3 linked regions of the Xenopus tropicalis genome follow. The protein of the gene in region 1 binds, or shares a complex with, the protein of each later gene. Links are inferred from orthologs where the notes say so. Each region holds a gene or a part of one and is shown in the gene's direction. Other genes may lie near its edges. The genes, in order: eif3j, eif3g and eif3f.

The links.
Region 2: eif3j (region 1) and eif3g share a complex: the UniProt entries of both Homo sapiens proteins name them as parts of the eukaryotic translation initiation factor 3 (eIF-3) complex. The link is inferred for Xenopus tropicalis from reciprocal best matches to the Homo sapiens genes EIF3J and EIF3G.
Region 3: eif3j (region 1) and eif3f share a complex: the UniProt entries of both Homo sapiens proteins name them as parts of the eukaryotic translation initiation factor 3 (eIF-3) complex. The link is inferred for Xenopus tropicalis from reciprocal best matches to the Homo sapiens genes EIF3J and EIF3F.

Annotation. Positions count from the first base shown.
Region 1 is NC_030679.2:118,210,968-118,221,484, reverse strand, and holds the start of eif3j (eukaryotic translation initiation factor 3 subunit J), read left to right. Parts: upstream 1-4,725; 5' UTR 4,726-4,787; coding exon 4,788-4,809; intron 4,810-7,388; coding exon 7,389-7,498; intron 7,499-10,517. UniProt on the Homo sapiens protein: Component of the eukaryotic translation initiation factor 3 (eIF-3) complex, which is required for several steps in the initiation of protein synthesis.
Region 2 is NC_030679.2:137,088,470-137,098,886, reverse strand, and holds the end of eif3g (eukaryotic translation initiation factor 3 subunit G), read left to right. Parts: intron 1-4,129; coding exon 4,130-4,189; intron 4,190-4,371; coding exon 4,372-4,476; intron 4,477-4,766; coding exon 4,767-4,959; intron 4,960-5,237; coding exon 5,238-5,345; intron 5,346-5,989; coding exon 5,990-6,126; intron 6,127-7,430; coding exon 7,431-7,537; intron 7,538-7,959; coding exon 7,960-7,975; 3' UTR 7,976-8,060; downstream 8,061-10,417. UniProt on the Homo sapiens protein: RNA-binding component of the eukaryotic translation initiation factor 3 (eIF-3) complex, which is required for several steps in the initiation of protein synthesis.
Region 3 is NC_030684.2:141,315,247-141,325,763, forward strand, and holds eif3f (eukaryotic translation initiation factor 3 subunit F), read left to right. Parts: upstream 1-5,059; 5' UTR 5,060-5,069; coding exon 5,070-5,217; intron 5,218-5,346; coding exon 5,347-5,417; intron 5,418-5,985; coding exon 5,986-6,065; intron 6,066-7,219; coding exon 7,220-7,357; intron 7,358-7,437; coding exon 7,438-7,529; intron 7,530-7,661; coding exon 7,662-7,798; intron 7,799-7,878; coding exon 7,879-7,992; intron 7,993-8,092; coding exon 8,093-8,170; 3' UTR 8,171-8,458; downstream 8,459-10,517. Other genes in the region: fcrlb (Fc receptor-like B), read right to left, coding at 4,168-4,195. UniProt on the Homo sapiens protein: Component of the eukaryotic translation initiation factor 3 (eIF-3) complex, which is required for several steps in the initiation of protein synthesis.

The DNA of each region.
Region 1 (10,517 bases):
TCAGATTTTTGTATCAGTCCCATTGTATTTTAACCCATACAACTATATCCAACTTGCAGGGTGCATTCTGTCGATCCAACAACAGCCTGCAGAATCTCCCATGGAGTTTAGCCCTGAAAGTGAGGAGATCAGGATCTATTTCTCTGTACTTTAACTCATATCCCTATTAGAAAAGAAACAAGAATCTTTGTGCACTTCTAAAAGTTATGGGTTAAAATGTGTGCCACTGAAAAACCACTGGAATTGTCATGAAAGTGTATCTGCTTGTATGCATTTTTGTGCCGATATCTGCTCTATGTAGCTATACACAGGCTGCTGCCAGGAAGGATTAGCACCTGCCCAAATGGAAACTGTCTGTCTGGATTTCCAAATTATTAAATCAGTACAGATCTTTGAATTGATCGCTGATTTCCATGTCATAATCCCTCCCACTGATGTTGTATATCCAATCCTGTGGCAACCCTAATGGGCCTGTCAATGGAGCTATGGGGGTGTGCACATAAGAGATCACCTTTCCTCCATCTCTTAAAAAAAAAAGTGGATCCGCTTGCCCATAGTGCGCTGGGTTAGCCAGTGTGAACATGGAAGAAAAATATTATTACTAATATTAGTTGTAGTAGTAATAATAATATAGTTCATAGTACAATTGGCATGCAGTTGCAAGCATCTGTAAGAATAAGCGTATGGTATTGTATTACCATTTATATAAGAGACTCAAGGGGCATTTACTAACTTTCCTGTTTCTTCACAATTTGTGTTTTTTTGCTCTAAAACTCATTTTTTTTGTATAAAAAACACAAATCTTTTGTGATTTATTCAGTTTTTTGTGATTTATTTCGTTTTTTTTCCACTCATAAGTTTAGGAAGATTCCAGGAAAAATGTGAAAACCATGAAAGATTTGTTGTTTTCATGTTCATTTGTCTGTGCTTTTTTTATTTGGATCTTTTAACAAATGACTAGACATTTGTGGTTTTTGTGGAAATAAGTTTATTCGTAGTTTCAAAAAAAAAAACTCTAAAACCACTAAAATCAGTATGTTGATAAATCTGCCCCTTAGTTTTGATTTGCTAAGCTCTGAGTTCATAATAACATTCAGTTCTGAAACTTGTGCACTATACCGCTGGTGTTACCTTACATACCTGCTGCACTTAATGTGGGTGTGACAACTGATTTGGCTTTTAGATCCCTTGTGATGTTATAGATTGGAAGTGAAGATGATTTCTACATTGACCTTACAACACTATATGCAAGGGGTTTGTCAAAAACATACAAATATATGACTAGCTGGTTCCTCCATAAAACTCACCATAATGGGTGAGACACAGTGTTAAGCTTATGCTTTAGGGCTATGACACACGGGGAGGGTTCACCACCATTATATTTTAGCTCAGGGCTGTCTACGTTCAGCCTTGTGTGCCCCCCACATGTCTGGCTGCTGTGACTGCTTACCTTTCTGTAAGATTTATGGTATCAGTACTGAGATAAACTGCCCCCCGTGCATTATTCACACTTCAAATTCAGGCTGTAAACCCCTGTATTGTTTGCACCTGTATACTGCCTGTGTGTGTAATATTCTGCCTACCTTATAATGCCTGTGTGCTATACTCTGCCTGCCCTATGCTGCCTGTGTGTGCCATACTCTGCCTGCCCTAGGCTGCCTGTGTGTGCCATACTCTGCCTGCCCTAGGCTGCCTGTGTGTGCCATACTCTGCCTGCCCTAGGCTGCCTGTGTGTGCCATACTCTGCCTGCCCTAGGCTGCCTGTGTGTGCCATACTCTGCCTGCCCTAGGCTGCCTGTGTGTGCCATACTCTGTCTGCCCTATGCTGCCTGTCCTATGCTGCCTGTGTGTGCCATACTCTGCCTGCCCTATGCTGCCTGTGTGTGCCATACTCTGCCTGCCCTATGCTGCCTGTGTGTGCCATACTCTGTCTGCCCTATGCTGCCTGTGTGTGCCATACTCTGCCTGCCCTATGCTGCCTGTGTGTGCCATACTCTGCCTGCCCTATGCTGCCTGTGTGTGCCATACTCTGTCTGCCCTATGCTGCCTGTGTGTGCCATACTCTGCCTGCCCTACCCTGCCTGTGTGTGCCATACTCTGCCTGCCCTACGCTGCCTGTGTGTGCCATACTCTGCCTGCCCTAGGCTGCCTGTGTGTGCCATACTCTGCCTGCCCTAGGCTGCCTGTGTGTGCCATACTCTGCCTGCCCTAGGCTGCCTGTGTGTGCCATACTCTGCCTGCCCTATGCTGCCTGTGTGTGCCATACTCTGCCTGCCCTATGCTGCCTGTGTGTGCCATACTCTGCCTGCCCTATGCTGCCTGTGTGTGCCATACTCTGTCTGCCCTATGCTGCCTGTGTGTGCCATACTCTGCCTGCCCTATGCTGCCTGTGTGTGCCATACTCTGCCTGCCCTATGCTGCCTGTGTGTGCCATACTCTGTCTGCCCTATGCTGCCTGTGTGTGCCATACTCTGCCTGCCCTACCCTGCCTGTGTGTGCCATACTCTGCCTGCCCTACGCTGCCTGTGTGTGCCATACTCTGCCTGCCCTAGGCTGCCTGTGTGTGCCATACTCTGCCTGCCCTAGGCTGCCTGTGTGTGCCATACTCTGCCTGCCCTAGGCTGCCTGTGTGTGCCATACTCTGCCTGCCCTAAGCTGCTTGTGTGTGCCATACTCTGCCTGCCCTAGGCTGCCTGTGTGTGCCATACTCTGCCTGCCCTATGCTGCCTGTGTGTGCCATACTCTGCCTGCCCTATGCTGCCTGTGTGTGCCATACTCTGCCTGCCCTATGCTGCCTGTGTGTGCCATACCCTCCCTGCCCTATGCTGCCTGTGTGTGCCATACTCTGCCTGCCCTAGGCTGCCTGTGTGTGCCATACTCTGCCTGCCCTAGGCTGCCTGTGTGTGCCATACTCTGCCTGCCCTAGGCTGCCTGTGTGTGCCATACTCTGCCTGCCCTAGGCTGCCTGTGTGTGCCATACTCTGCCTGCCCTATGCTGCCTGTGTGTGCCATACTCTGCCTGCCCTATGCTGCCTGTGTGTGCCATACTCTGCCTGCCCTAGGCTGCCTGTGTGTGCCATACTCTGCCTGCCCTAGGCTGCCTGTGTGTGCCATACTCTGCCTGCCCTATGCTGCCTGTGTGTGCCATACTCTGCCTGCCCTAGGCTGCCTGTGTGTGCCATACTCTGCCTGCCCTAGGCTGCCTGTGTGTGCCATACTCTGCCTGCCCTATGCTGCCTGTGTGTGCCATACTCTGCCTGCCCTATGCTGCCTGTGTGTGCCATACTCTGCCTGCCCTAGGCTGCCTGTGTGTGCCATACTCTGCCTGCCCTATGCTGCCTGTGTGTGCCATACTCTGCCTGCCCTATGCTGCCTGTGTGTGCCATACTCTGCCTGCCCTATGCTGCCTGTGTGTGCCATACCCTCCCTGCCCTATGCTGCCTGTGTGTGCCATACTCTGCCTGCCCTAGGCTGCCTGTGTGTGCCATACTCTGCCTGCCCTAGGCTGCCTGTGTGTGCCATACTCTGCCTGCCCTAGGCTGCCTGTGTGTGCCATACTCTGCCTGCCCTAGGCTGCCTGTGTGTGCCATACTCTGCCTGCCCTATGCTGCCTGTGTGTGCCATACTCTGCCTGCCCTAGGCTGCCTGTGTGTGCCATACTCTGCCTGCCCTAGGCTGCCTGTGTGTGCCATACTCTGCCTGCCCTAGGCTGCCTGTGTGTGCCATACTCTGCCTGCCCTATGCTGCCTGTGTGTGCCATACTCTGCCTGCCCTATGCTGCCTGTGTGTGCCATACTCTGCCTGCCCTAGGCTGCCTGTGTGTGCCATACTCTGCCTGCCCTAGGCTGCCTGTGTGTGCCATACTCTGCCTGCCCTAGGCTGCCTGTGTGTGCCATACTCTGCCTGCCCTAGGCTGCCTGTGTGTGCCATACTCTGCCTGCCCTATGCTGCCTGTGTGTGCCATACTCTGCCTGCCCTATGCTGCCTGTGTGGGCCATACTCTGCCTGCCCTATGCTGCCTGTGTGTGCCATACTCTGCCTGCCCTAGGCTGCCTGTGTGTATGGTCATGGAACTCCAAAATTACATCTAATATCATAGTTTCATCAGATGCTACCCAATTTATTACAATACACAGCTTTAGTAGAATCACTTGAGGTTACATCACAAGACACAGAATGTAGCTGCCAACATCAATAATCCCTGTTTAAAAGAATATATTTTACAGAATATTCATGGCTCTTCTATACTATAACCTTTAGACTGCAGAAAATCTAAGAAACCCAGTAGCACTTATAGTCCAAAAATAAAAAAAAATCCCGGTCCTTCTCAGCAGTCCGAGTGCAAAACCCCTAAACATGCTGTTCCAATGCCTTGCCATGCGTTCATGTCCCAACATGGGAGAGGCACGACATTGGACCGATCCAGCTCGTAGCGGCCTTGAGCAAAACCGAAGGAGCGATCCAACCGTGTAAGTGCAGTTAGTACAGCAGCCAATAGAGAGACGCATGGGTGTCACGTGTTCTGCAGAAATGAGTTCCACAGCCAAAATGGCGCCTGCTCACGTGTCTCCTGCTCTGCGGCGCAAAGAACCAGGAGAAAGAGAAAAGTCTGGAATTCTTTTATTCCTCGTTTTTAGAATCAGGTCGGTCCCGCTGGGAGGACCAAGATGGCGCAGGGAGGCAGGGAGTTGTGACGCATTTCCGGTGAAAGTCTAAGCCGAACTCGCTGCACTGCGTGCGCATTCAGACGCGGTGAGTCAGTCAGAGCCGGAGCGGCAGCGGGAAAAATGGCGGAGAACGACAGCTGGGGTGAGACTGAACTGCATGTGGAGCGGCGTTACGGGCTCAAGCTCTGTCTGGCACAAGGCCGCTTCTTTTTCTCCTTGAGTGCCCAGTTTTAGTGGCGGTGCCCTGGCTTTATGTGTTTATATGTATCTCTCTTCTTCTGTACTTTCTCTATTCTGTGGGGGAGCGCACTCAGCCAGCCCTCGTGTGAGCGGGCCCTGTGTCAGTGTGTGTCCCTCCGCGGGCCCTGTGTCAGTGTGTGTCCCTCCGCGGCCCCTGTGTCAGTGTGTGTCCCTCCGCGGCCCCTGCCTAACCTTTCCCCTATTTGCCGGATCTCGGCTGCCGAACCGTACTGCTGCTTATTCTCAGCATGGCTCCCAGCTGCCTCTGTCCCGCCGGCCTTCTCCACTGGCTCCCCAGCAGGCTTAGTACAGCCGAGTTACCCAGGGACAAGGCAGCACATGTGCCCTTTGCTCCTATGCCTCATATAGGCTCGGTAGTGGGCAGCCAGAAGGCCAATGATATGGGGTGAGGCAGGGCTGCCCGCAGGCTGGAGCTTGGGCTGCTCGGTGAGTCTCCAGCTGCTACAGGCAGCGCTACCAGAACAGGCCACAAAGCGCTCCATTATCCCGTGTTCCCTATGGGTGTTGCTCATATAAGTGCAGCTCTGTCTCACCTATTCAGTGGCAGTGTGCCAGCTGGGCTGCTAGGCCCTCACTCACTACCTTCACTAAGGGTAGGCCCCAAATGGGTAAGGCATTGGCTCTCCCCTAACTGGGCCCTGTGTAGGGGCTTCACCATTGGCTGCTGGATGTGTGTTGAGAAGAGAAATAACCCCCCCCCCCCCCCATATATCTTACATTGCCATGTCATTTGTGCCTCTTCAGTGGCAATTAGACTTTCTTTGAAGCAATAACCTTTCAGTCAGGGGCTTTTGTATTCCCATTGCTTATGCTGGGCCTGTGTGCCTTGCCTCTAGTTGGCCTCCAGTTGTTTCATTCCATTACATCTGTTTTATCCAACTCACTTTCCTTCCATTACCTCTATCTCCTCTCCCTAATAGCCACCCCCTCCCAGTCGTGTCCCCGTCCCCTCCCAGTCGTGTCCCCGTCCCCTCCCAGTCGTGTCCCCGTCCCCTCCCAGTCGTGTCCCCGTCCCCTCCCAGTCGTGTCCCCGTCCCCTCCCAGTCGTGTCCCCGTCCCCTCCCAGTCGTGTCCCCGTCCCCTCCCAGTCGTGTCCCCGTCCCCTCCGCCAGTGAGTAATGTGACTGAGTGCAGCTGGCTCCCCGGGCTCTCTGTGCCGCAATATTGCTCATTATCTTGCTTACAAGAAGAAACACATTTTGCCCTGTAAGGGTGCCCAGTACAATATGGATATTATATTACACACTTTGACTTATTCTTTCTCTTTTTTTTTACTACATAGTAGTTTTCCAAATTCCTGTCCTCACTTGACGCCTTTCATCTTTGGGGCTTGTTGGGTTGCATTCATGCTTAGGTATCTTTTAACCCTGATTTAGCATATTTTTTTAATATAGAGGCCTCTTTATATTTTACCTCCTTGCCTAGCCATTACCTTTCTGTTAAATACTGATATTCTTCATAACTCTGACCATATTTTGTGCTAGTAAGCTAAACTGTACTTGTGATGTAATTATATTTCGCACTCCTACTGATAGGATGTGGCCTCAATGCCATCCAAATATTATTAATACTATGTACTTAGTTTCGGGCCGCATAAAGCACTCATGATGGGGTGCCAAGATTCATTTGCAGCAGCTACAGGTTCACATTCTGACCTTGGGTTTAGTTCATGGATACTGCTTCTTCTGAACTGACAATGTTTTTTTTATGACCCTCTTTTTAAGTTTTTGTTGCCAGATACCATGTGATTGTATGGGGTGTGTTATGAAAAGGAGCAAAGTTTTTTAGGTCTAATCACCAAAAACCAGCCAACCAGTAGAGGTAGCATTTACTGGCCTATTGTTTAAAAGCAAACATTGTATTAGTTTCTGTGGGTTAATTTACCTGGGTGAGCTTTATTCTTTATATTACATATGGAAGTTAAGTAATTTGCCACTGAGGTAAGTTGCCAGCAGTTAGTCTGTTCTTGTCTATCTTTTATAAACACCCTCTTCCTTTGTCCTCTGCATAAAGGTGCAGTATATACCCCTTTGTACAACATGAGCGCAATGAATAGGGCTTGTGCTTAACATACTTTTTGCCTATTAAGCACAAGTCTAAGGTTTTTGTTTTTTCTTGAGCCAAACAGGGAATTTGATGCATCTCCATTTTTAGTCCTTGCGAGTGCAATTATCAGTGCACAGATAAAAAGTTGTTCATTGTGCACATGGATTATCTGTGTGCTGGGAATCTGAGTACTGTATATACTTCACTGGGGCCAAACATGGAGTTTAGCTTGGAAAGTTTTTTGTGATTAAAACAGTAGGCAAAAAGAATGTTCAGCCCATTACACCCATTTTGGAAAAGTGGTTAATTTCCATTTTAATGCTAAAAGCTGAGCCTTTGATTAATACTGGCACAGCAATGTTTTGACTTAGTCTCTTATTTTTGGTCCCTGATTTTTTTTCTCTCCATGTACAGATGCTGATGATTTTGAGCCAGAAGTTTCAAATCAGAAGGGTGCTGTGTCAGGCCCACCACCGGCAGGAAGAGATCGTTGGGAGGGAGAGGACGAGGAGGAGGATGTTAAGGTACTGTAATTAACATTCATTATGTCATTAGGTTGCATTTGCTTGGTTGTGTTGGTGATGTACATGTATGCTTAGTAGATTTTACCACTTTCTAAAAAGGAGGCTTATTATGTGCATATTGTATGACAGAATTTTGCCACATCAGTGTTTATTTGTATTAAATTGTATTGAATAAGAATAAAGTCTGTATTTGACATATGTTAATGTTTGTTCTAAGCAAGCTTATTAAATATGGCAGCCGCCTTATTAAGCGTTATCATGGAGATATCATGTTCTCTACCCATAGGTTACAACTCTGCTCTAGCAGCAGCTTTTGACTTACAGACCATGGTGTATGACTGTATATCACTTTGTATCATTGACTGAATAAGAAAATGTCAAGTTGGAGAGCGTACTCAGTGCTGAAGCTACTCCTGAAAAATAGCAGCAAACTAATAAATCAAATTTTAATAGTTTAGAGAGTTGGCAACTAAGCTCCCGGAACTGCTTTTAGGCAATTAGGTTAAAATCACTGTAGAACTCTGCATCAGAAGTTTGTTTGGTTAAACCTGTGTTTTCCAAACTGTCGGGTTGTCTTCTCTGAGGGTGGACTGTAAGTAGTGGCAAGGGGGGAGATCAGCCTGAAGGGCAGTTATGTTGAGGGGAGAATGGCCATTTGCTCTTAGATACACTAAAATCACAGGTTGCTGCACCGTTAGAATAAGATTTGTGGTGAATATGAGACATTACTGTTTGCTTTTGTATCTGACCTGTGTGCTCAGGATCAAAAGCAAACTAAAGCTGGCCATACACGCACCGATACTATCGTACGAAACCTCGTTTCGTGCGATATTCGGTGCGTGTATGGCATGTCGGCGAGTCGACCAATATCGCAGGAAGCTGCTGATAACGGTCGACTCGCCGATCGGACCGGTTAAAAGGTTTTGATCTGGCGCCATAGAAGGCACCTGACCAAAATCTGCAGTCAGGGCTGAATTGGCAGAAGGAGGTAGAAATCCTATTGTTTCTACCTCCTTATCTCCTGTTTCAGCCCTGACGGTGTGTGGCGGATCTGACGATGTTTCATGCGACCGATGGTCGCCACGTGTGTGGCCACCTTAACTGAACAGTATTGTCCCATGTGGGCCCCCACCTCAAGTTACTGACAAACCAAAGCTGGCCATATGCCAAACAAGCGAATCTTCTCCCAATATGCCCAATATACCTAAGGTTGGTGATATTGGGCTAATTTGATCATTTGGCCCCCTAAGTCCAATTGTCGGCCAGATATTGATCTGGTAGGCCCCATACATGGGCGGATAAGCTGCCGAATCGGTCTAAAGTATTGCCCGTGTAAGGGGAAAGTAGTGTTCTGGCTATTAAGACATCCACCCACTCTAGCCTTTATAGATTACATTTTGGCTAACTATGTTATAGAAACATTTATCTTGCACAGCCTATGTATTTACCAAGCTTTATTTTCAGACTGTTCCTTTAACTGAGAGTTTGCCAACCTCTGATTTAGCCCATGTTCTGAGCAACATGAAAACAATGAAGGAATGAATGAATTTGCCTTGTACGGGCAATAACTTCTGTGATTACATTTTTGCAAGGTTTAGAAGCCACCTTATGGTGTTTGTTAGTGTTTCTGTTCTGCCTGTGTGTGGCAATAGTTGCCTGTCAGTGCTCCAGTTATTTCAGTCCACGCCCTGTCATGGGAGGGGGGGGTTATCTAAGTTTCTGAAGAGCTTTGAAAAGAGATAAAGAGGATTATAAAGTAAGGACTATTTTTTTGGTCACTTTGCAAAAATGTTTTTTTTTCTAGTGTGGATTAAAAAAAACCCACAGGGACACCATTAATTCCATCCTAGCTGGCTAATAGCATAAAGTGGGGCTCATTTACTTACACTTAACACATTTGCCCCAGTGCAGTAACCCATAGCAACCAATCAGCATAATTAAAGCAGACCTATCTTTAGTAGGCTGCTGAAAGTTAATTGGTGTCAAATTGCCTTGGGATACTAATTACTATGGTACTGCTAGTAATTGTGCCCCAGTATGGATTCTGTGGACAGATGTAGGTGTTGCTTATAAGAGGGTTTTACAAGCAAGTCATCTGGGTCAAATTTTCACCCTTGTACAACATCCCTAAAATGTTGTATTTTTTTCCCGCCTCTCCTTATTTTTAATTCTTTAGTTAAACTTGTTTAGTCCCACTGCAGCCTTTGCCCCGTTCTGCCTTGCCCAGATGTGCATTGAGATTTGGCAGTGGCTTATCTTATGCAGTTGGCCTCTACAGGCCACACTATTGTCTGTGCAGACAGTGCTTTCTGATAAGGAGACTGATATGCTGATGATGCTCAAGTTTCTTTGGCTCTAGAGACTGTGTATGGTGTTTATTTTTGTCAAATTATAATTTTAGGAGGGCACAGACAGGGAAGTGCCACAGAAGCATTAAGCACATTATACACATACACATGGACAAACTTGTCGGTTTTATTTATGTGTCAAACTATATATAATAATGTCTGAAAGTTCAAGCACACTATCCAAGCTCAGCAATACACAAAATCAAAAATATAGATGCACACCAGGTATTTTTAGTAAGAAAAAACTTAACTTTTAATTAGCATCATTAAAGGAACAGTAACACCAAAAAATGAAAGTGTATAAAAGTAACTAAAATATAATGTGCTGCTGCCCTGCACTGGTAAAAGTTGTGTGTTTACTTCAGAAAGTCTACTATCATTTATATAAATAAGCTGCTGTGTAGCCATGGGGGCAGCCATTCAAAGGAGAAAAGGCACAGGCACATAGCAGATAATAGCTAAAACACTATTGTATTCTACAGAACTTATCTGTTATCTGCTATGTAACCTGTGCCTTTTCTCCTTTTTTCCAGCTTGAATGGCTGCCCCCGTGGCTACACAGCAGCTTATTATATAAATTATAGTAGTGTTACTGTAGCAAACACACACATTTTACCAGTGCAGGGCAACAGTGCATTATATTTTTATTACATTACAAGTTCTTTTATTTT
Region 2 (10,417 bases), about 19 Mb from region 1:
ACTTTGTTTCATTTTCATACTCTGTGTACTTATGGGAGAAAGGCTTACATCTGCTACAGATGCTATGAATGCAGTATGTCTTTTATTATTTCATAAGGTTCCTTATCCCTGACAACATGAAAGCAAAATGTTTGAATATATTTTCTGTGTTTTTTTTTTGTTTTTCTTTTTAGCTTCTGTGTTAAATTATTATTGGCTAAATGTCTCTTGCATTCTAGACAGCCGTGAGTTTTTGTAGGTTCATTTATACAGACTGCCTAAGGACATGTCAGTGTGTATATATTATATACTTGTTTCCTATGCGCCTAGTGTGGCAAGATAGTGGTCACTGGTTTATTGAGGAACTGGCTGAATATAGGCTAAAGCAGCAGATCCTAGATCTCTGTATTTATCCTGTAGAACGGCGCTGTTCAACTGATGGCCACAAACAGCCCGCAGGTCCATGTCTTGTGGCTCAGTGAAGCTCCAAGGAATTTATGCAGATTAATTATTAAAGCATATTCTTTTATCAATTGCCCCATCCAAACTGGCAAGTACATGATGATACAGAGGTTGGCAGAATGAGGCATAGGAGGAAATAATGAGATTGCAGAAACGTAGGGTGAATGGGTAATAAAGCTGCAAAGAAAAAGGAGAGTAGAGAAGAGAGAGGTAGATATACAGTGGAGGAAATAATTATTTGACCCCTCACTGATTTTGTAAGTTTGTCCATTGACAAAGAAATGAAAAGTCTCAGAACAGTATCATTTCAACGGTAGGTTTATTTTAACAGTGGCAGATAGCACATCAAAAGGAAAATCGAAAAAATAACTTTAAATAAAAGATAGCAACTGATTTGCATTTCATTGAGTGAAATAAGTTTTTGAACCCTCTAACAAAAAAAGACTTAATACTTAGTGGAAAAACCCTTGTTTGCAAGCACAGAGGTCAAACGTTTCTTGTAATTGATGACCAAGTTTGCGCACATTTTAGGAGGAATGTTGGTCCCACTCCTCTTTGCAGATCATCTCTAAATCCCTAAGGTTTCGAGGCTGTCTCTGTGCAACTCTGAGCTTGAGCTCCCTCCATAGGTTTTCTATTGGATTAAGGTCCGGAGACTGACTAGGCCACTCCATGACCTTAATGTGCTTCTTCTTGAGCCACTCCTTTGTTGCCTTTGCTGTATGTTTTGGGTCATTGTCGTGCTGGAACACCCATCCACGACCCATTTTCAGTTTCCTGGCAGAGGAAAGGAGGTTGTCGTTCAGGATTTCACGATACATGGCTCCGTCCATTTTCCCGTTAATGCGAATAAGTTGTCCTGTGCCCTTAGCAGAAAAACACCCCCAAAGCAAAATGTTTCCACCCCCATGCTTGACGGTGGGGACGGTGTTTTGGGGGTCATAGGCAGCATTTTTCTTCCTCCAAACACAGCAAGTTGAGTTAATGCCAAAGAGCTCTATTTTGGTCTCATCAGACCACAGCGCCTTCTCCCAGTCACTCACAGAATCATTCAGGTGTTCATTGGCAAACTTCAGACGGGCCTGCACATGTGCCTTCTTGAGCAGGGGGACCTTGCGAGCCCTGCAGGATTTTAATCCATTGCGGTGTAATGTGTTTCCAATGGTTTTCTTGGTGACTGTGGTCCCTGCTAATTTGAGGTCATTAACTAGCTCCTCCCATGTAGTTCTAGGGTGCTTTTTCACCTTTCTCAGAATCATTGACACCCCACGAGGTGAGATCTTGCGTGGAGCCCCAGAGCGAGGTCGATTGATGGTCATTTTGTGCTCCTTCCATTTTCGAACAATCGCACCAACAGTTGTCACCTTCTCTCCCAGCTTCTTGCGAATGGTTTTGTAGCCCATTCCAGCCTTGTGCAGGTCTACAATTTTGTCTCTGACATCCTTGGACAGCTCTTTGGTCTTTCCCATGTTGGAGAGTTTGGAGTCTGCTTGATTGATTGATTCTGTGGACAGGTGTCTTTTATACAGGTGACTAGTTAAGACAGGTGTCCTTAATGAGGTTGACTAATTGAGTAGAAGTGTCTAACCACTCTGTGGGAGCCAGAACTCTTAATGGTTGGTAGGGGTTCAAAAACTTATTTCACTCAATGAAATGCAAATCAGTTGCTATCTTTTATTTAAAGTTATTTTTTCGATTTTCCTTTTGATGTGCTATCTGCCACTGTTAAAATAAACCTACCATTGAAATGATACTGTTCTGAGACTTTTCACTTACAAAATCAGTGAGGGGTCAAATAATTATTTCCTCCACTGTACATTGGGAGAGAAAGTAGGAAGATAACAAATAGGGCAGACAAAAAGGGAGAGCAGGAGAAGGCAGTATCAGTGCAGGTACTGGTGGGTTTTCTTAGCTTTATATTAATATCCACCAGTACCCAGTTGTGTGGCAATTAGATTTGTTTGTTGGGGGAAGGAACTGATCATGGTCAGTGGGGCCTGCTTTAGTACTGGAGTATACCTGGTAGATCCTAGTCTGGTTGGGTTTTTCTGCAGCACAGAGCTTTAACTCTTTGCTACCTTTTTCAGGTTGTACTTTTCATTTATTTCATTTCAAAATGAAAAATGGGAGGTTGTCTGGGAATGCTATAACCTCCGTTAATTTAGGCAGTGGGGTCAGGAAGAAGACAGAAGGTCAAATGTGTTGTTATAGATAAGCAGGAGAATCCATGGAGGCTGTTACTTGTGCAGAATTGGCTGAGTGGAAATGGCAAACCAATAGCTAAGGCATTAGGTAGGAAATATCAGCCCAAAGCAGCCGTAATCTGTGCCATAAACAGCCCAGGGACAGAGCAGTTTGGAGAGGAACGCAGCTTGTATCGTGTCACAGCCTTCTCTCTTGTGGTTTCTGTTAATGCAACTGTAGACTAAGAAGTGTTAACATAGTTGTGGCTTCAAGGACGTGGTTAAATGGGTTATAGTCAATGCTGGATTCCATTACCGACGCTTAGGCTAGAAAAATTACGTCCCTCAGTACCAAAGAAGTAGGGCAGCACTGCTGTAAATCACCATTCAATCAGTTTCAGCCCCTGAGGAAGGTGCCTTTTCTGCCTACCCCTAGTGCCAGCCCTGTAGTAAAGCAGCCCATATGTGAACAGATTGGGTAAGGCAGCACTGCTGATTTCCTAGCCATATGGACTCGTATGGGGCAGGTTCAGGGGTCCTGTGTACAGTTACATATATTATCTGCTAATGCACCATGTGACTGGGCACATGTTGGATTGGCAGATGAGGGGGGTAAAAAAGAGCAATGCCTCTTTACTCCCTACCATTTATATATTGTGTGCCAGTTGTACCATATCCATTCACTCAGCCTGCATACTGATTGGCTGGATACGGTAAAGGGTTGCTTAGTGTATGGCGGGCCTCCAGTACATCCTCAGGCCGGCTGCCTCCAGAGCTCTGCAAGCAGCTAGTGACACCCTGTGACTGTATGTACAACTCAGATAAGGCGGGTGGGGGTCTGTAATGTGCAAGGAACCTTAGTCAGACAATCAAGTTAGTATTTCTTACAAGATGCTATGGCTGCTGCCATTTGATTAGGTGCCTGGGGGGCTATTTTATGTCTTGCTGTACTGTACTTGAGTGGGAAAGCATAGTTACATAAATGTGGAACATAAAAATGAAAATTGTTATAGTTTGACCTTTTGAAAAGGTTATTTAGCAGAGTTGTTCATGGGCCAGTGATGAGTGTGTGTGTATATGTGTGTATATTTATATAGAATACACAATTTATTGTATAGATTATATTGCTATATTTCAACGTTATTAAGCTGTTTATCAACTAACAAAATTCATTATCTAACAGCGCCACCTGCAGGTCAGTTATTCCAACTGCAGCCTAACTGCTTTGAAATGTAAAAAAAAAGAGAATGTAAATTGCAGAAGTGCTTAGAAGGTTTACATACTTTAATTATAAAAGCCACTAAATTCTAAGTTGCGTATCTGTAAAGTTTTACTTATATTTCTAAACTCACTTTTTCTAGCTTAGAACAAAGCGCATTGCTGTAGGGGAGGAGCCTAGCATTGTTTTTGAAATCTACAGTTTCTCTCTAGTTGAATTGCCTGTGCACACATGTACAGTAACACCGTATTGCTCTTTATTAATAAACCTTTCTATTTCTTTGCAGATTGTTCGCACTTTTAAAATAGAAACACTCAAAGCATCCAAAGTTGTTGCTCATAGGAAGGTGAGAGGACAGGGGTGTCTGTAGAGAAAGGGTTAAATTGGAACATGCCAGCTGTTGGGATATGGGATAAGCCATATACTGTTGTTTGTGTTCTCTTGGGAAGCAATGGGACCTAAATAGATAACTTAGAATATAATAATGTTGAAGAGATCATCATCTTCCTTTTGTGTTTTACTTTCCAGAATTGGAAAAAATTTGGCAATTCAGAATATGATCCTCCTGGTCCAAATGTGGCCACCACCACAGTCAGCGACGATGTCCTGATGACATTTATCACCAGCAAAGAGGTCAGTATTGATCATTCCTTAATATGGATATCTGGTTCATCTTATGTGAATTTATTTTTTTTGTTCCTACTTCCCCTTTGTTCCAAACATGGATTCCATGGGCACTATTGCAATACAAACCTTCAGGTGTGCAAACTGCACCATCAGTACTCAGTATATACACATACACAATTGCAATATAAAAAGTGTATGGAATATTTGCATTCTGTACCCTCTTTGCCCCCTAAAAGAGGTTAACACACCTTCTTCTAGTAAACAGCTGTAACAGTCTGGATCTTTTCTCACTGCAGGATCTGAATAACCAAGAAGAAGAGGATCCAATGAATAAACTGAAGGGCCAAAAGATTGTATCTTGTCGAATCTGTAAGGGTGACCATTGGACCACAAGGTGCCCCTACAAGGACACACTGGGTCCCATGCAGAAAGAACTGGCTGAGCAGCTGGGATTGTCCACAGGAGACAAGGAGAAGGCACCAGGGGCAGGTAAGAGCCAACTTAGCTGCCCAGTTTGCATCCAGCCCCTAAGTGTACTCTGTATATCCTGTGGCAGTACCGTACTGTGTGTGTTTGTGTGCCACATTTGTGCTATGCATGTGTTGATTATTACTATTCACAACTGTGAAGAAAACCCTTCAAAATTCAATGAGATTTGCCACCATGACCTAGCCTTAATAGAACTCTATTGCATTATTTGATAGGCTGGACAGCCCATTGCCTTTATACAGTATGTTTAACCTGTATCCAATTTGTTGTCATTCTAGAGCCGGAGCCAGCCCAGGCACCTGTTAGCAAGACTGGAAAATATGTTCCCCCCAGCCTGAGAGACGGAGGAAGCAGGAGAGGGGAGTCTATGCAGCCTAATCGCAGAGGTATGATGATCACGTGGTGGTGAATACATAGCCCATAGTCAGTGCATGCTGTGACTGCGCTTCATTTGTTTTATTACCCAATATACACAACCATAAGGGTCTTTATTCCCTACTGCAGCAGCATGGACAGTGGCAGTTCATTCTTGTTCATAGTTTTGTGAATTCTTGTGCATACTGGGCCAGTAACACATTGTTTACCCAGTAAAATGATCCTGTAAACTGTAAACACACTAGGGGGTATGTTAGCTACTTATTGCCCATGAAAGCCCATTGCTACCTGGCTGATGGCAGGGAAAGTACCTGATGTACTTACATGCAGTTATAACTCTAACATACAGATGGCACTCTTGTAAAAAAAAAAAAAAAAAAAAAAATCCCATTTCAGCATATCTTGTATATAAAGCCAGTTTGTAGGACAAAGCAAGGCACTGCTGGCACTAGGCAGGTTGTTATAGACACAACATTGGCTTTGTCCACTTATAACCTGCTATTGGTAATAATATCACCTGGGGCCACTAATGAAGGAGCCGGGGGTGTTGGGACAAAGTTGCTATTGAAAAATGCTGCAAGTGTGTCACTCTGATGTATCACCCCATAGTTTGTACTGTCTCTGAATTTTATGATCTCCCACCTTTTCTCTGCAGCCGACGACAATGCCACAATCCGCGTCACAAACTTATCCGAAGACACACGGGAGACTGATCTCCAGGAGCTCTTTAGACCATTCGGATCGATTTCTCGAATCTACTTGGCCAAAGACAAGACCACCGGGCAGTCAAAGGTACAAACTGTTGCTGAGTGTTCTGATTGGCTCATCCTTGTTACTCTGTGGCTGGCCAGTCGGTGTTAGATGCCCTGTGCCTGCTGGGCTTTAAAATGAACACAGACTAGTGCTGGGCGGTATACCGGTATAAACCGAACACCGTTTTTTTTTTTAAAAAACTATATACATTTTTAACTTACCGGCATACCGGTGTGCGCGCCTCCTGGCAATTTTTCTTACTATTTCCGGGTTGTGCGCGCTGACGTCACGCGCGCAACCCGGAAATAGTAAGAAAAATTGCCAGGAGGCTCTACAAAAGCGCCGTCGCTAGGACGCATACCAATGTGAGCTGTCGGGGGTGCCTGCGGCTGCCTGGCAAGTCATTTATATTTATGTGAAGGGGTTGGGTGTTTGGGGTGGGGGGGGGGGGTGTTTGGGGTGGTCACCTAATCATGCATGGGGAAAAAAAAAATACCGTCAAATACCGTGATACCGATAAAATTTTGAAAAATACTGTGATATAAATTTTTGGTCATACCGCCCAGCACTAACACAGACACCATTAAATATGATCTTATGGGACAGCTGTCTTTTTTAACCATGTATTTATTATTAAAATAATGTCATGCATAAAGGTGGGAGAGTTAGGGAGCCATAACTATGTAAAGGAGAAATAAAGCTTAACTAAAGGAATAGGCTAGAAATGTTGTACATTATGTTTTGAGCTTCTGTACCAGCCTAAGGCAACCCCAGCCCTTTAGCAGGGAAGATCTGTGCCCCCAGTAGCCCCCAACCTCTTTTCTGCTGATTCCCTGCCCATACTCTAGCATATAAAATCTGGCATTTCTTGCCATATTCATTTTTAGGGTTTAGTTCTCCTTTAAGGGTTTCATCTGTCTCTACCTGTGCGTACATCCTGTTTTTAAGCAGAGGACTTTGTTTTTCCGTGAGTGTTTATCTGCTGATTCAGACGCAGATGTATATTCTCGGTTGTCTGAAAAGGGGAACATTGTGATTAAAAAAAAAGCCACCAAACGACAGTGGCTGTTACTTATCTGTTGAACCAAGAGAACTATTTGTAGCCTAGGTTTGTATTGCTACTGAGCCTTCCTCATCCTTTGTTTCTAGTCTGAGTTCTAGCAGAAGTTTTTGATTTATTTGTGGGGTAATTATTTTGGTTGGTGGAGCATGTGTCGGCCATTGCCAGGGAATGCTTGAGATCTGGAGGCTGGGCACCTAGGGGTTTATTAGGCTGTGCTTGGAGCTAAAGGGACACCCCTCCCCACTAATCCTTCATTTCTTTGTGATTTTTTCCCCCTCAGGGTTTTGCCTTCATCAGTTTCCACCGCCGAGAGGATGCAGCTCGCGCCATCGCAGGAGTCTCGGGCTTTGGCTATGATCATCTTATTCTCAATGTGGAATGGGCCAAGTATGTATACGCTGACTGCCTCCACTCCACTCTCATAGCTGGACTGTTTGCTCCAGTTCTTGTAACCCATAGGAGCTACCTTGAAAGCAAATACCTAATTGGTTGCTATGGGTTTCAAGACCTGAAGTAAATCTGAGCCTGGCTGTTATAACATTTTCCCATATGCTCCTGTTTATTGTATGAGGCTGAGGAGCCTTATTGTGAGTTCTTTGCTACCTGAAATAAGTTCATTCTGCTCCGTGGGCAAGGACTGATATGGCAGAAAAGCATCATGGGAAGTCCATGGGGTCGTCTGTGCGCATATTCCCCAAATTCTACCAGCCGTCTGCCAGACTAGACTATGAGGAACTGTCCCTACTCTATAGGAACTTCTTGTTTGCTGTCGCTCTGAGCTGATTTATTTTGCTTTTTCTCTTTTTCAGGCCCTCGACCAACTGATGGGAAGCAGCTTCCTGTGCGGCAGAGAAAGATGATTTTATAGTCTTGTGTTAGATTGCAGAGCAAATAAAAGAACTGAAAAGGCGATTGAGTCTGGTCTATTTTTACTCCTGGAATCTGTTCTGCTTTCTTTATTCATTTGTGTATTTTATTTTATACAATAGAAACATTAAAGGAGAACTTTGGGGTGAGACAAAGCTTTGACTAAATAACAAAATGGACACTGATTCCCTGCACATACTCTGTTCTGCTGTCACTTACCTGAGCTTAGGGGCCCGCTCACACTATACTGTATATACAGAATATAAATGGCACAATATAACCTGAGCTTAGGGACCCGCTCACACTATACTGTATATACAGAATATAAATGGCACAATATAACCTGAGCTTAGGGACCCGCTCACACTATACTGTATATACAGAATATAAATGGCACAATATAACCTGAGCTTAGGGGCCCGCTCACACTATACTGTATATACAGAATATAAATGGCACAATATAACCTGAGCTTAGGGACCCGCTCACACTATACTGTATATACAGAATATAAATGGCACAATATAACCTGAGCTTAGGGACCCGCTCACACTATACTGTATATACAGAATATAAATGGCACAATATAACCTGAGCTTAGGGACCCGCTCACACTATACTGTATATACAGAATATAAATGGCACAATATAACCTGAGCTTAGGGGCCCGCTCACACTATACTGTATATACAGAATATAAATGGCACAATATAACCTGAGCTTAGGGGCCCACTCACACTATACTGTATATACAGAATATAAATGGCACAATATAACCTGAGCTTAGGGGCCCACTCACACTATACTGTATATACAGGATATAAATGGCACAATATAACCTGAGCTTAGGGGCCCACTCACACTATACTGTATATACAGAATATAAATGGCACAATATAACCTGAGCTTAGGGACCCGCTCACACTATACTGTATATACAGAATATAAATGGCACAGTATAACCTGAGCTTAGGGGCCCACTCACACTATACTGTATATACAGAATATAAATGGCACAATATTACCTGAGCTTAGGGGCCCGCTCACACTATACTGTATATACAGAATATAAATGGCACAATATTACCTGAGCTTAGGGGCCCACGCACACTATACTGTATATATAGAAACTAAAAGGAATGATTATTCCAGATTCACACCATGATAGCTAGGAACCAGTGCATTCTGCACCAGCATCAGCTTCTAATGTTTTTATGATTTCTGACGACCCCTAAGCTTAGCTTCCCAACAGTAGCCCAGAGCCCCTGAGCAGCTTCCCTAAAACGGCTGAGCTTTTAGATACGAGATTAGGATCATTACTGTTCTAGAGCTGCTGAACCTTAGGCTGGTACGGTAAGCTCAGTACATAAAATAGAGCATTTCTAGCATTATTCTTTATTTTTCCTTTAATTTTCTTGTGCATAGTGGAGTCCAAGGTTTGTTAAGAATTTTTGTTCCCTTTCTGTTTATTTTATGCTGGTATCATATGCATTCCTTATTGTCTATATTTAGGTTATTTAAAGTTTCATGGCATCTGTTGGTGCAGGATGGGGTTCTGGATTAAGAGAGGGTCCATTGTGTATTATTAAAGCCTAAAGCAGTGATCCCCATCCAGTGGCTCAGGAGAAACATGTTCCTCCCGATGTTGCTCCCAGTGGCCTCAAAGCAGGTGATTATTTGTGAATTCCTGGCTTGGAGGCAAGTTTTGGTTGAATAAAAACCAGGGCTACTGCCAAACAGAGTCTCCTATAGGCTGCCAGCCCATATAGGGGCTCCCAGTCCCAGCCAATCACAGCCCTTACATGGTACCCACAGGTAAATCTGTTGCTCCCCATCTCCCTATACATATGGTGAGGTTCACGGGTAAAACAAGGTTGGGGACCCCAGGACTAAAGGCATAAGGGGAAGGAGGGGGGGAATTTTGCCCCTTACAGACACATCTGTTTTCACTGTTCTTATGTACAAGTTCCAGCATGTTCCGCATTGCTGTGCAAATAAAAGCTGAGCAGTGCTGCTTGTTGGAAGCTATAAAGTGAGACAGACCTGTAAAGCTGCCCATGAATGCCCAGAGTTGGCCGCTTTCAACTATTCTGCCTGACCATCTGGGCCTATACAGCCAGTCGGGGGTCCCTGCAGACCAATCACCCTGCAAGCCAGCTGGATGGAGGAATATAGGCTATGATGGAAAGTTTCTGTTGGTTGGCCGAATGGAAGTGAGGAGGAGCCATAGCTTTGCTCCTCCTCTTTGACTTGTTGTGACCATATTGGAGGTGGGTCCAAATAAAAAAGGAGGTCATAGAGAATTTACATTTACAAAGAATTAACATTTTTTGCAACGTTTTTTAGCAGCTTTGCAAATTATAACGTGAAACGGGACAGATTTGTTCATCACTAGTCAGG
Region 3 (10,517 bases), on another chromosome or scaffold:
CTGTGGTGGTCGACTTGGGTTTCCTGAGGGAAAGGGAGCTAAAACAGAGCTGCTCAAACGCATCCAAATGGAGGTGCATAACCCTGTAGCCTGGTTACTGTATTGGCCTGACGATAGTGAGTGTAACAGCTGATCCTGTCTTCCTTTTGCCTCTTAAGATCAGTCATTGGAACCATGTTCAATGGGGAAGTGACCAACACTGTACCACCACCAGTAGGAGCTTATCAGCTAGCCGAACTTTAGACTTTGTGGCCGGGTGTTGTGATGGTGGAGGGTGGGGAGGGAATGATCTTTTCATGGACAAAGGGAGGACTTTGCCGGTATCTGATTCTTGGGAGGGAATTATGGACAGAGGAAGGACTCTGGGAGGGTTTGGTGTGTGGTGATGGGAAATTTCATTTAAGAGCTGAGGCATGGCAAGCCTAACTCACTGGTGGTGATGCTGGTCTGAAATGATCGGAATATTTAGGTTTGTTTTGATTTGAATGTATTTATTATAAATTGTTAAGTTTTCACTAAATAAAAAATTCCTATCTGATCCCCCCCATTGTAAGCAGCAGTCCTGCCCTGCTTTATGGCTGAGATTCTAGCTATCTGTATAACAGAGCATTCTGTCACAGTGGCACAGATCCTATCTGATCCCCCCATTGTAAGCAGCAGTCCTGCCCTGCTTTATGGCTGAGATTCTAGCTATCTGTATAACAGAGCATTCTGTCACAGTGGCACAGATCCTATCTGATCCCCCCATTGTAAGCAGCAGTCCTGCCCTGCTTTATGGCTGAGATTCTAGCTATCTGTATAACAGAGCATTCTGTCACAGTGGCACAGATCCTATCTGATCCCCCCCATTGTAAGCAGCAGTCCTGCCCTGCTTTATGGCTGAGATTCTAGCTATCTGTATAACAGAGCATTCTGTCACAGTGGCACAGATCCTATCTGATCCCCCCATTGTAAGCAGCAGTCCTGCCCTGCTTTATGGCTGAGATTCTAGCTATCTGTATAACAGAGCATTCTGTCACAGTGGCACAGACCCTATCTGATCCCCCCCATTGTAAGCAGCAGTCCTGCCCTGCTTTATGGCTGAGATTCTAGCTATCTGTATAACAGAGCATTCTGTCACAGTGGCACAGATCCTATCTGATCCCCCCCATTGTAAGCAGCAGTCCTGCCCTGCTTTATGGCTGAGATTCTAGCTATCTGTATAACAGAGCATTCTGTCACAGTGGCACAGATCCTATCTGATCCCCCCATTGTAAGCAGCAGTCCTGCCCTGCTTTATGGCTGAGATTCTAGCTATCTGTATAACAGAGCATTCTGTCACAGTGGCACAGATCCTATCTGATCCCCCCATTGTAAGCAGCAGTCCTGCCCTGCTTTATGGCTGAGATTCTAGCTATCTGTATAACAGAGCATTCTGTCACAGTGGCACAGATCCTATCTGATCCCCCCCATTGTAAGCAGCAGTCCTGCCCTGCTTTATGGCTGAGATTCTAGCTATCTGTATAACAGAGCATTCTGTCACAGTGGCACAGATCCTATCTGATCCCCCCCATTGTAAGCAGCAGTCCTGCCCTGCTTTATGGCTGAGATTCTAGCTATCTGTATAACAGAGCATTCTGTCACAGTGGCACAGATCCTATCTGATCCCCCCCATTGTAAGCAGCAGTCCTGCCCTGCTTTATGGCTGAGATTCTAGCTATCTGTATAACAGAGCATTCTGTCACAGTGGCACAGATCCTATCTGATCCCCCATTGTAAGCAGCAGCCCTGCCCTGCTTTATGGCTGAGATTCTAGCTATCTGTATAACAGAGCATTCTGTCACAGTGGCACAGATCCTATCTGATCCCCCCCATTGTAAGCAGCAGTCCTGCCCTGCTTTATGGCTGAGATTCTAGCTATCTGTATAACAGAGCATTCTGTCACAGTGGCACAGATCCTATCTGATCCCCCCATTGTAAGCAGCAGTCCTGCCCTGCTTTATGGCTGAGATTCTAGCTATCTGTATAACAGAGCATTCTGTCACAGTGGCACAGATCCTATCTGATCCCCCATTGTAAGCAGCAGCCCTGCCCTGCTTTATGGCTGAGATTCTAGCTATCTGTATAACAGAGCATTCTGTCACAGTGGCACAGATCCTATCTGATCCCCCCCATTGTAAGCAGCAGTCCTGCCCTGCTTTATGGCTGAGATTCTAGCTATCTGTATAACAGAGCATTCTGTCACAGTGGCACAGATCCTATCTGATCCCCCCCATTGTAAGCAGCAGTCCTGCCCTGCTTTATGGCTGAGATTCTAGCTATCTGTATAACAGAGCATTCTGTCACAGTGGCACAGATCCTATCTGATCCCCCCCATTGTAAGCAGCAGTCCTGCCCTGCTTTATGGCTGAGATTCTAGCTATCTGTATAACAGAGCATTCTGTCACAGTGGCACAGATCCTATCTGATCCCCCCATTGTAAGCAGCAGTCCTGCCCTGCTTTATGGCTGAGATTCTAGCTATCTGTATAACAGAGCATTCTGTCACAGTGGCACAGATCCTATCTGATCCCCCCATTGTAAGCAGCAGTCCTGCCCTGCTTTATGGCTGAGATTCTAGCTATCTGTATAACAGAGCATTCTGTCACAGTGGCACAGATCCTATCTGATCCCCCCCATTGTAAGCAGCAGTCCTGCCCTGCTTTATGGCTGAGATTCTAGCTATCTGTATAACAGAGCATTCTGTCACAGTGGCACAGATCCTATCTGATCCCCCCATTGTAAGCAGCAGTCCTGTCCTGCTTTATGGCTGAGATTCTAGCTATCTGTATAACAGAGCATTCTGTCACAGTGGCACAGATCCTATCTGATCCCCCCCATTGTAAGCAGCAGTCCTGCCCTGCTTTATGGCTGAGATTCTAGCTATCTGTATAACAGAGCATTCTGTCACAGTGGCACAGATCCTATCTGATCCCCCCCATTGTAAGCAGCAGTCCTGCCCTGCTTTATGGCTGAGATTCTAGCTATCTGTATAACAGAGCATTCTGTCACAGTGGCACAGATCCTATCTGATCCCCCATTGTAAGCAGCAGTCCTGCCCTGCTTTATGGCTGAGATTCTAGCTATCTGTATAACAGAGCATTCTGTCACAGTGGCACAGATCCTATCTGATCCCCCCATTGTAAGCAGCAGTCCTGCCCTGCTTTATGGCTGAGATTCTAGCTATCTGTATAACAGAGCATTCTGTCACAGTGGCACAGATCCTATCTGATCCCCCCATTGTAAGCAGCAGTCCTGCCCTGCTTTATGGCTGAGATTCTAGCTATCTGTATAACAGAGCATTCTGTCACAGTGGCACAGATCCTATCTGATCCCCCCCCATTGTAAGCAGCAGTCCTGCCCTGCTTTATGGCTGAGATTCTAGCTATCTGTATAACAGAGCATTCTGTCACAGTGGCACAGATCCTATCTGATCCCCCATTGTAAGCAGCAGTCCTGCCCTGCTTTATGGCTGAGATTCTAGCTATCTGTATAACAGAGCATTCTGTCACAGTGGCACAGATCCTATCTGATCCCCCCATTGTAAGCAGCAGTCCTGCCCTGCTTTATGGCTGAGATTCTAGCTATCTGTATAACAGAGCATTCTGTCACAGTGGCACAGATCCTATCTGATCCCCCCATTGTAAGCAGCAGTCCTGCCCTGCTTTATGGCTGAGATTCTAGCTATCTGTATAACAGAGCATTCTGTCACAGTGGCACAGATCCTATCTGATCCCCCCATTGTAAGCAGCAGTCCTGCCCTGCTTTATGGCTGAGATTCTAGCTATCTGTATAACAGAGCATTCTGTCACAGTGGCACAGATCCTATCTGATCCCCCCCCATTGTAAGCAGCAGTCCTGCCCTGCTTTATGGCTGAGATTCTAGCTATCTGTATAACAGAGCATTCTGTCACAGTGGCACAGATCCTATCTGATCCCCCCATTGTAAGCAGCAGTCCTGCCCTGCTTTATGGCTGAGATTCTAGCTATCTGTATAACAGAGCATTCTGTCACAGTGGCACAGATCCTATCTGATCCCCCCATTGTAAGCAGCAGTCCTGCCCTGCTTTATGGCTGAGATTCTAGCTATCTGTATAACAGAGCATTCTGTCTGAAGAGATAAGGAATATAAGAATAATATGGCTCTTACCAATAATGACCAGGATCAGAGCCGCCATGCCGGCAGAAGCAGAAGGCACTCAGTGGGTCGGGCTGTATATAAACCCTGTTAGTTCTGTATTTGGCTCTATGTATAGAACATTTCACAACTCCCTACTCTTCCCAAACAGGGATGAAGGTTCCTTAACCCTTAAACCCCCCCCAGAGATACAGGACACTCACTGATTGGTTGTTTCTGATACTCCAGATTCCTAATCGTTTAGTGTGTTCTAAAAGGTCCTGTACGAAGCAGCCTGACAATTGGTCTTTTTTTATTCGACATTATTAGCCTTATTATTCTGTATCTTTCCAAAATGCTGCTTTGTTTGGGTTGGGGGGGGGGGTCAATTCAAGTTTCCCTTTATTTTTGTGATCAATAAACTTGAATTAGACAATATTTTTTATTGAAGTTTTAATAAATTACCCACAGTTGATTAAACAATTATATTTATTTGGCTTGTGAGGAGCTTCCCTCCCCTATGGCAGAGGTATATACTAAATATATACCAATATTTATATATAAATGTGTTTTTCAGAAACCTGAACTGGAAACGTCCACCTAATGGTTAATACTGAGATAGATAGAGACCTGGGCAGCTCCACATAAACATTAAACACCAGAACTCCCTGTATATAAGAACATTGGGAGGCGTACAGCCAATCGCAGCAATATTATTTTTGATGGACTGCTTTATGACCAATCACAGTAAAGCATTGCGCCTCGAAGGCGTCCCTCCGTAAGCGCCAATCAGGAACAAAGCGACGCGCCTAGCGTCGACGTTCCCGGCGTACGTGCAAGCACTTCCTGTATGTGGTCCAATCGGAATGCGGCGTTTTGTGACTCACTGAAGCCCCGCCCATGATCCCCCCTCTTGCGCGTCTGCCCTAGTTAAGATGGCGGCTGCCGGCTCTCTATCCGCGGCGGGATCAGCCATGCTGCACGGTCCGGTAGTGAAGGTCCATCCGGTGGTCTTAGCCTCCATCGTGGACAGTTATGAGAGGAGAAACGAAGGAGCCGGGCGGGTTATTGGCACCCTTTTGGGTAAGGGGGGGCCCTGGTTACCGTGGGGGGGTATAAGTGACGGGAGCCGCAGTGGGACAAAAAGGGTTCGTTGTGACAAGAGCTGTATTCAGTACTGAGATGTAACCATTGGTTGTTGTGTGATTACAGGGACGACAGACAAACACTCAGTGGAGGTGACCAACTGCTTCTCCGTCCCGCACAATGAGTCTGAGGATGAGGTTTGTACCATTAATAATAATATGTGGGGGTGTTTATTCAGGTGGGTGCTGCCCCCCCCCCCACTGGGCACATACAGCGGCCCTATGGCTTCAGTTTGGGGTTCAGACCGTTATTGGGTGTGTAGGTGTCTCCTACCGAGTCCGGGCTCTGACTCCTGAACCAATGTAGCTGGCTGGTAATTGGCTGCCTTGGGCTATAATGTGTTGGCAGTCAGTAGCAGCAGTGCGGGGAATCCATAGAAACTATATTTAATAACATTTGGGAAATGTACGTGTATATTGGGGAGTATTGGGGGAGTTTCCCCTGAATCACTTGCTGTAGCCTGAGTAGTGTGGGGGTTGGTCTGGGCCAGCGGGACACTGGGGGAAAAGCCTGATGGGCCCACCAACCCAGACCCAATCCCCACTGCCCCCCTCCCTTCCCCCGATTACACCCAGGGGAGTCTCAGATATACATACTCGGGGGAGGGCAGGGTAGGGTGAGAGTTGTGTCGGGCCCGCACACCCCATTCCTACCCTGTGTAGTGTTGCCCTGCTCAGTATTTCATGCCCTCTGTAATTACCCCAGGTGGCTGTCGACATGGAGTTTGCCAAGAACATGTACGAGCTGCATAAGAAAGTTACCTCCACTGAGCAGATTGTGGGCTGGTAAGTGGTACTTCCCATCCCCCCCTGCCCCAGTGTGTGTGGCGCCTCCCGTCCCCCCCCTGCCCCAGTGTGTGTGGCGCCTCCCGTCCCCCCCTGCCCCAGTGTGTGTGGCGCCTCCCGTCCCCCCTGCCCCAGTGTGTGTGGCGCCTCCCGTCCCCCCCTGCCCCAGTGTGTGTGGCGCCTCCCGTCCCCCCCTGCCCCAGTGTGTGTGGCGCCTCCCGTCCCCCCCTGCCCCAGTGTGTGTGGCGCCTCCCGTCCCCCCCTGCCCCAGTGTGTGTGGCGCCTCCCGTCCCCCCCTGCCCCAGTGTGTGTGGCGCCTCCCGTCCCCCCCCTGCCCCAGTGTGTGTGGCGCCTCCCGTCCCCCCTGCCCCAGTGTGTGTGGCGCCTCCCGTCCCCCCCTGCCCCAGTGTGTGTGGCGCCTCCCGTCCCCCCCTGCCCCAGTGTGTGTGGCGCCTCCCGTCCCCCCCTGCCCCAGTGTGTGTGGCGCCTCCCGTCCCCCCTGAGCCCAGTGTGTGTGGCGCCTCCCGTCCCCCCTGAGCCCAGTGTGTGTGGCGCTTCCCGTCCCCCCTGAGCCCAGTGTGTGTGGCGCTTCCCGTCCCCCCTGAGCCCAGTGTGTGTGGCGCTTCCCGTCCCCCCTGAGCCCAGTGTGTGTGTGGGGCGCTTCCCGTCCCCCCTGAGCCCAGTGTGTGTGTGGGGCGCTTCCCGTTCCCCCTGAGCCCAGTGTGTGTGTGTGGCGCTTCCCGTCCCCCCCTGAGCCCAGTGTGTGTGTGTGTGTGTGTGTGGCGCTTCCCGTCCCCCCCTGAGCGCAGTGTGTGTGTGTGGCGCTTCCCGTCCCCCCCCTGCCCCAGTGTGGTGTGTGGCGCTTCCCGTCCCCCCCTGCCCCAGTGTGTGTGTGTGTGGCGCTTCCCGTCCCCCCTACCCCAGTGTGTGTGGCGCTTCCCGTTCCCCCCGAGCCCAGTGTGTGTGGCGCTTCCCGTTCCCCCCGAGCCCAGTGTGTGTGTGGCGCTTCCCGTTCCCCCCGAGCCCAGTGTGTGTGTGGCGCTTCCCGTTCCCCCCGAGCCCAGTGTGTGTGTGGCGCTTCCCGTTCCCCCCGAGCCCAGTGTGTGTGTGGCACTTCCTGTCCCCTGAGCCGTGTGTGTTCTGATACGTTGCAGGTACGCCACAGGAAATGACATCACCGAGCACTCTGTTCTGATCCATGAGTACTACAGCCGCGAGGCCACCAATCCCATTCACATGACGGTGGATACCAGCCTGCAGGGGAACCGTATGAACATAAAGGCCTATATCAGGTACGGGGGCGCCAACCTCCCTCCCAACAAGCGTATGGGACGTTCCATTGGCTGAATGCCTCTCCTGCTCTTTCCCACAGCTCCCCGATGGGCGTTCCCGGCAAAACCATGGGCGTCATGTTCACCCCTCTCACCGTGCAGTATGTCTACTATGACACAGAGCGGATAGGAGGTGAGTGCCTGGTACCTGCGAGCCCTCTGGCGCCTCTAGTGGCAGCCGGGGTTCCAAGCCTGTAGGGTTTGTAGCTTTCATGCCCGCGATGCCCTACAGCATGTATATATAATCCCGTCTGTCTCCTCACAGTGGATCTGATCACCAAGACCTGCGCCAATCCCAACCGCTCCATTGGCCTGACCACTGACCTGCAGCAGGTGGGGGTGGCGGCTAACAGACTGCAGGATTCCCTCAGCACGGTACTGCAGTATGCCGAGGATGTACTGGTGAGTGCAGCTCCCATCACCCCCTCTGATTGGTTCTTACTCCCCGTTCACCCTTAACCCCTGTCTCTCTCTCTCGGAAGTCGGGGAAGGTGACGGCAGACAACACAGTCGGGCGCTTCCTGATGGATCTGGTCACCCAGGTTCCTAAGATCGACCCAGAAGACTTTGAGGCCATGTTGAACAGCAACATTAATGTAAGTGGGTCGGGCCCGACACCCACAATGCACTGCAGGCTCCGTTATACAGACTGTTGGGGTATTGGGGTTCTTATTGTTCTTTGTGTTCCGTTCCCAGGATCTTCTGATGGTCACTTACCTGGCCAACCTGACCCAGTCCCAGATCGCCCTGAATGAGAAGCTCCTCAACCTGTAACCGGCTCCGACCCGTGTTTTTACTTGGACTTGACCGACCGACGCACATTCGACGCCCAATAGAGGTGCATTCTGGGGGATTGAGACTGTTCCTATTAAATTATATTCACAGGGGATTAAAGGGCTGGGTGGGCTGCAGCAAGAACATCTATTCTGTCCCCTCCCCGTACGGAGCCCCCGATATCTCATTATGTTACAGCATCTGTCCAGCAGGGGGGGTAATTGCATTCCCTGGCAGCACAGTCACCAAAGTGTATTTTGTGGATTAATAAATAAATTAGAAAAACCACTTCATTCTATTTATTTCTCTAACCATTATGTGTATGTGCGCTGGGGGTAACTGGGCAGCAGATTATTCAAGCAGCTTCCTCCTCAGGGTTCATCTTCCTCATAGGTACCATTTCTTTTCATGTGTTTTCCCTTAATAAGACACTGGGGCTCGCTAATCAACACTTGCCCATGGGTAGTAACCCATAGCAACCAATTAGTGATTAGCTTTTTCAGCCAGCTGCATGTATATGACCCCAGCTGAGTGCTGCACAGTTTAGCCACTAGATGGCAGCAGAGGGATATCATTGCATTTTATGTTGCCAGACAACATCGGGCATGCAGTGGGGGGGCCCAAATGATTGTGGGAATTATGTACCTCCCAGCCCCCATAATGTTACCTCCCAGGTCAGTGTGAATCAAATACAGACTCGGTAAGGTTAGGAACACCCCAAAAACTGTATGTAGTATGTAGGTATATAGCCAAGGCTGGGAGAGCACTCCACTATACGGATAGGGGCTCATAGGGGGGCTATTAAGAGAGAGATATATGAGAGTATACAGATAGGGGGGCTATTAAGAGAGAGATATATGAGAGTATACAGATGGGGCACATAGGGGGGCTATTAAGAGAGAGAGATATGAGAGTATACGGATAGGGGGGCTATTAAGAGAGATATGAGAGTATACGGATAGGGGGGGCTATTAAGAGAGAGATATGAGAGTATACAGATAGGGGGGCTATTGAGAGAGATATGAGAGTATACAGATAGGGGGGCTATTAAGAGAGAGATATATGAGTATACGGATAGGGGGGCTATTAAGAGAGAGATATGAGAGTATACGGATAGGGGGGCTATTAAGAGACAGATATATGAGAGTATACGGATAGGGGGGCTATTAAGAGAGAGATATATGAGAGTATACAGATGGGGCACATAGGGGGGCTATTAAGAGAGAGATATATGAGAGTATACGGATAGGGGGGCTATTAAGAGAGAGATATGAGAGTATACGGATAGGGGGGCTATTAAGAGAGAGATATGAGAGTATACGGATAGGGGGGCTATTAAGAGAGAGATATGAGAGTATACGGATAGGGGGGCTATTAAGAGAGAGATGAGAGTATACGGATAGGGGGGGCTATTAAGAGAGAGATATGAGAGTATACAGATAGGGGGGCTATTAAGAGAGAGATGAGAGTATACGGATAGGGGGGGCTATTAAGAGAGAGATATGAGAGTATACGGATAGGGGGGCTATTAAGAGAGAGATATGAGAGTATACGGATAGGGGGGCTATTAAGAGAGAGATATGAGAGTATACGGATAGGGGGGCTATTAAGAGAGAGATGAGAGTATACGGATAGGGGGGGCTATTAAGAGAGAGATATGAGAGTATACGGATGGGGGGCTATTAAGAGAGAGATATGAGAGTATACGGATAGGGGGGCTATTAAGAGAGAGATATGAGAGTATACGGATAGGGGGCTATTAAGAGAGAGATGAGAGTATACGGATAGGGGGGGCTATTAAGAGAGAGATATGAGAGTATACGGATAGGGGGGCTATTAAGAGAGAGATGAGAGTATACGGATAGGGGGGCTATTAAGAGAGAGATATGAGAGTATACAGATAGGGGGGCTATTGAGAGAGATATGAGAGTATACAGATAGGGGGGGCTATTAAGAGAGAGATATATCAGTATATGGATAGGGGGGCTATTAAGAGAGAGATATGAGAGTATACGGATAGGGGGGCTATTAAGAGAGAGATATGAGAGTATACGGATAGGGGGGCTATTAAGAGAGAGATATGAGAGTATACGGATAGGGGGGCTATTAAGAGAGAGATATGAGAGTATACAGATAGGGGGGCTATTAAGAGAGAGATGAGAGTATACGGATAGGGGGGGCTATTAAGAGAGAGATATGAGAGTATACAGATAGGGGGGCTATTAAGAGAGAGATATATGAGTATACGGATAGGGGGGCTATTAAGAGAGAGATATGAGAGTATACGGATAGGGGGGCTATTAAGAGACAGATATATGAGAGTATACGGATAGGGGGGCTATTAAGA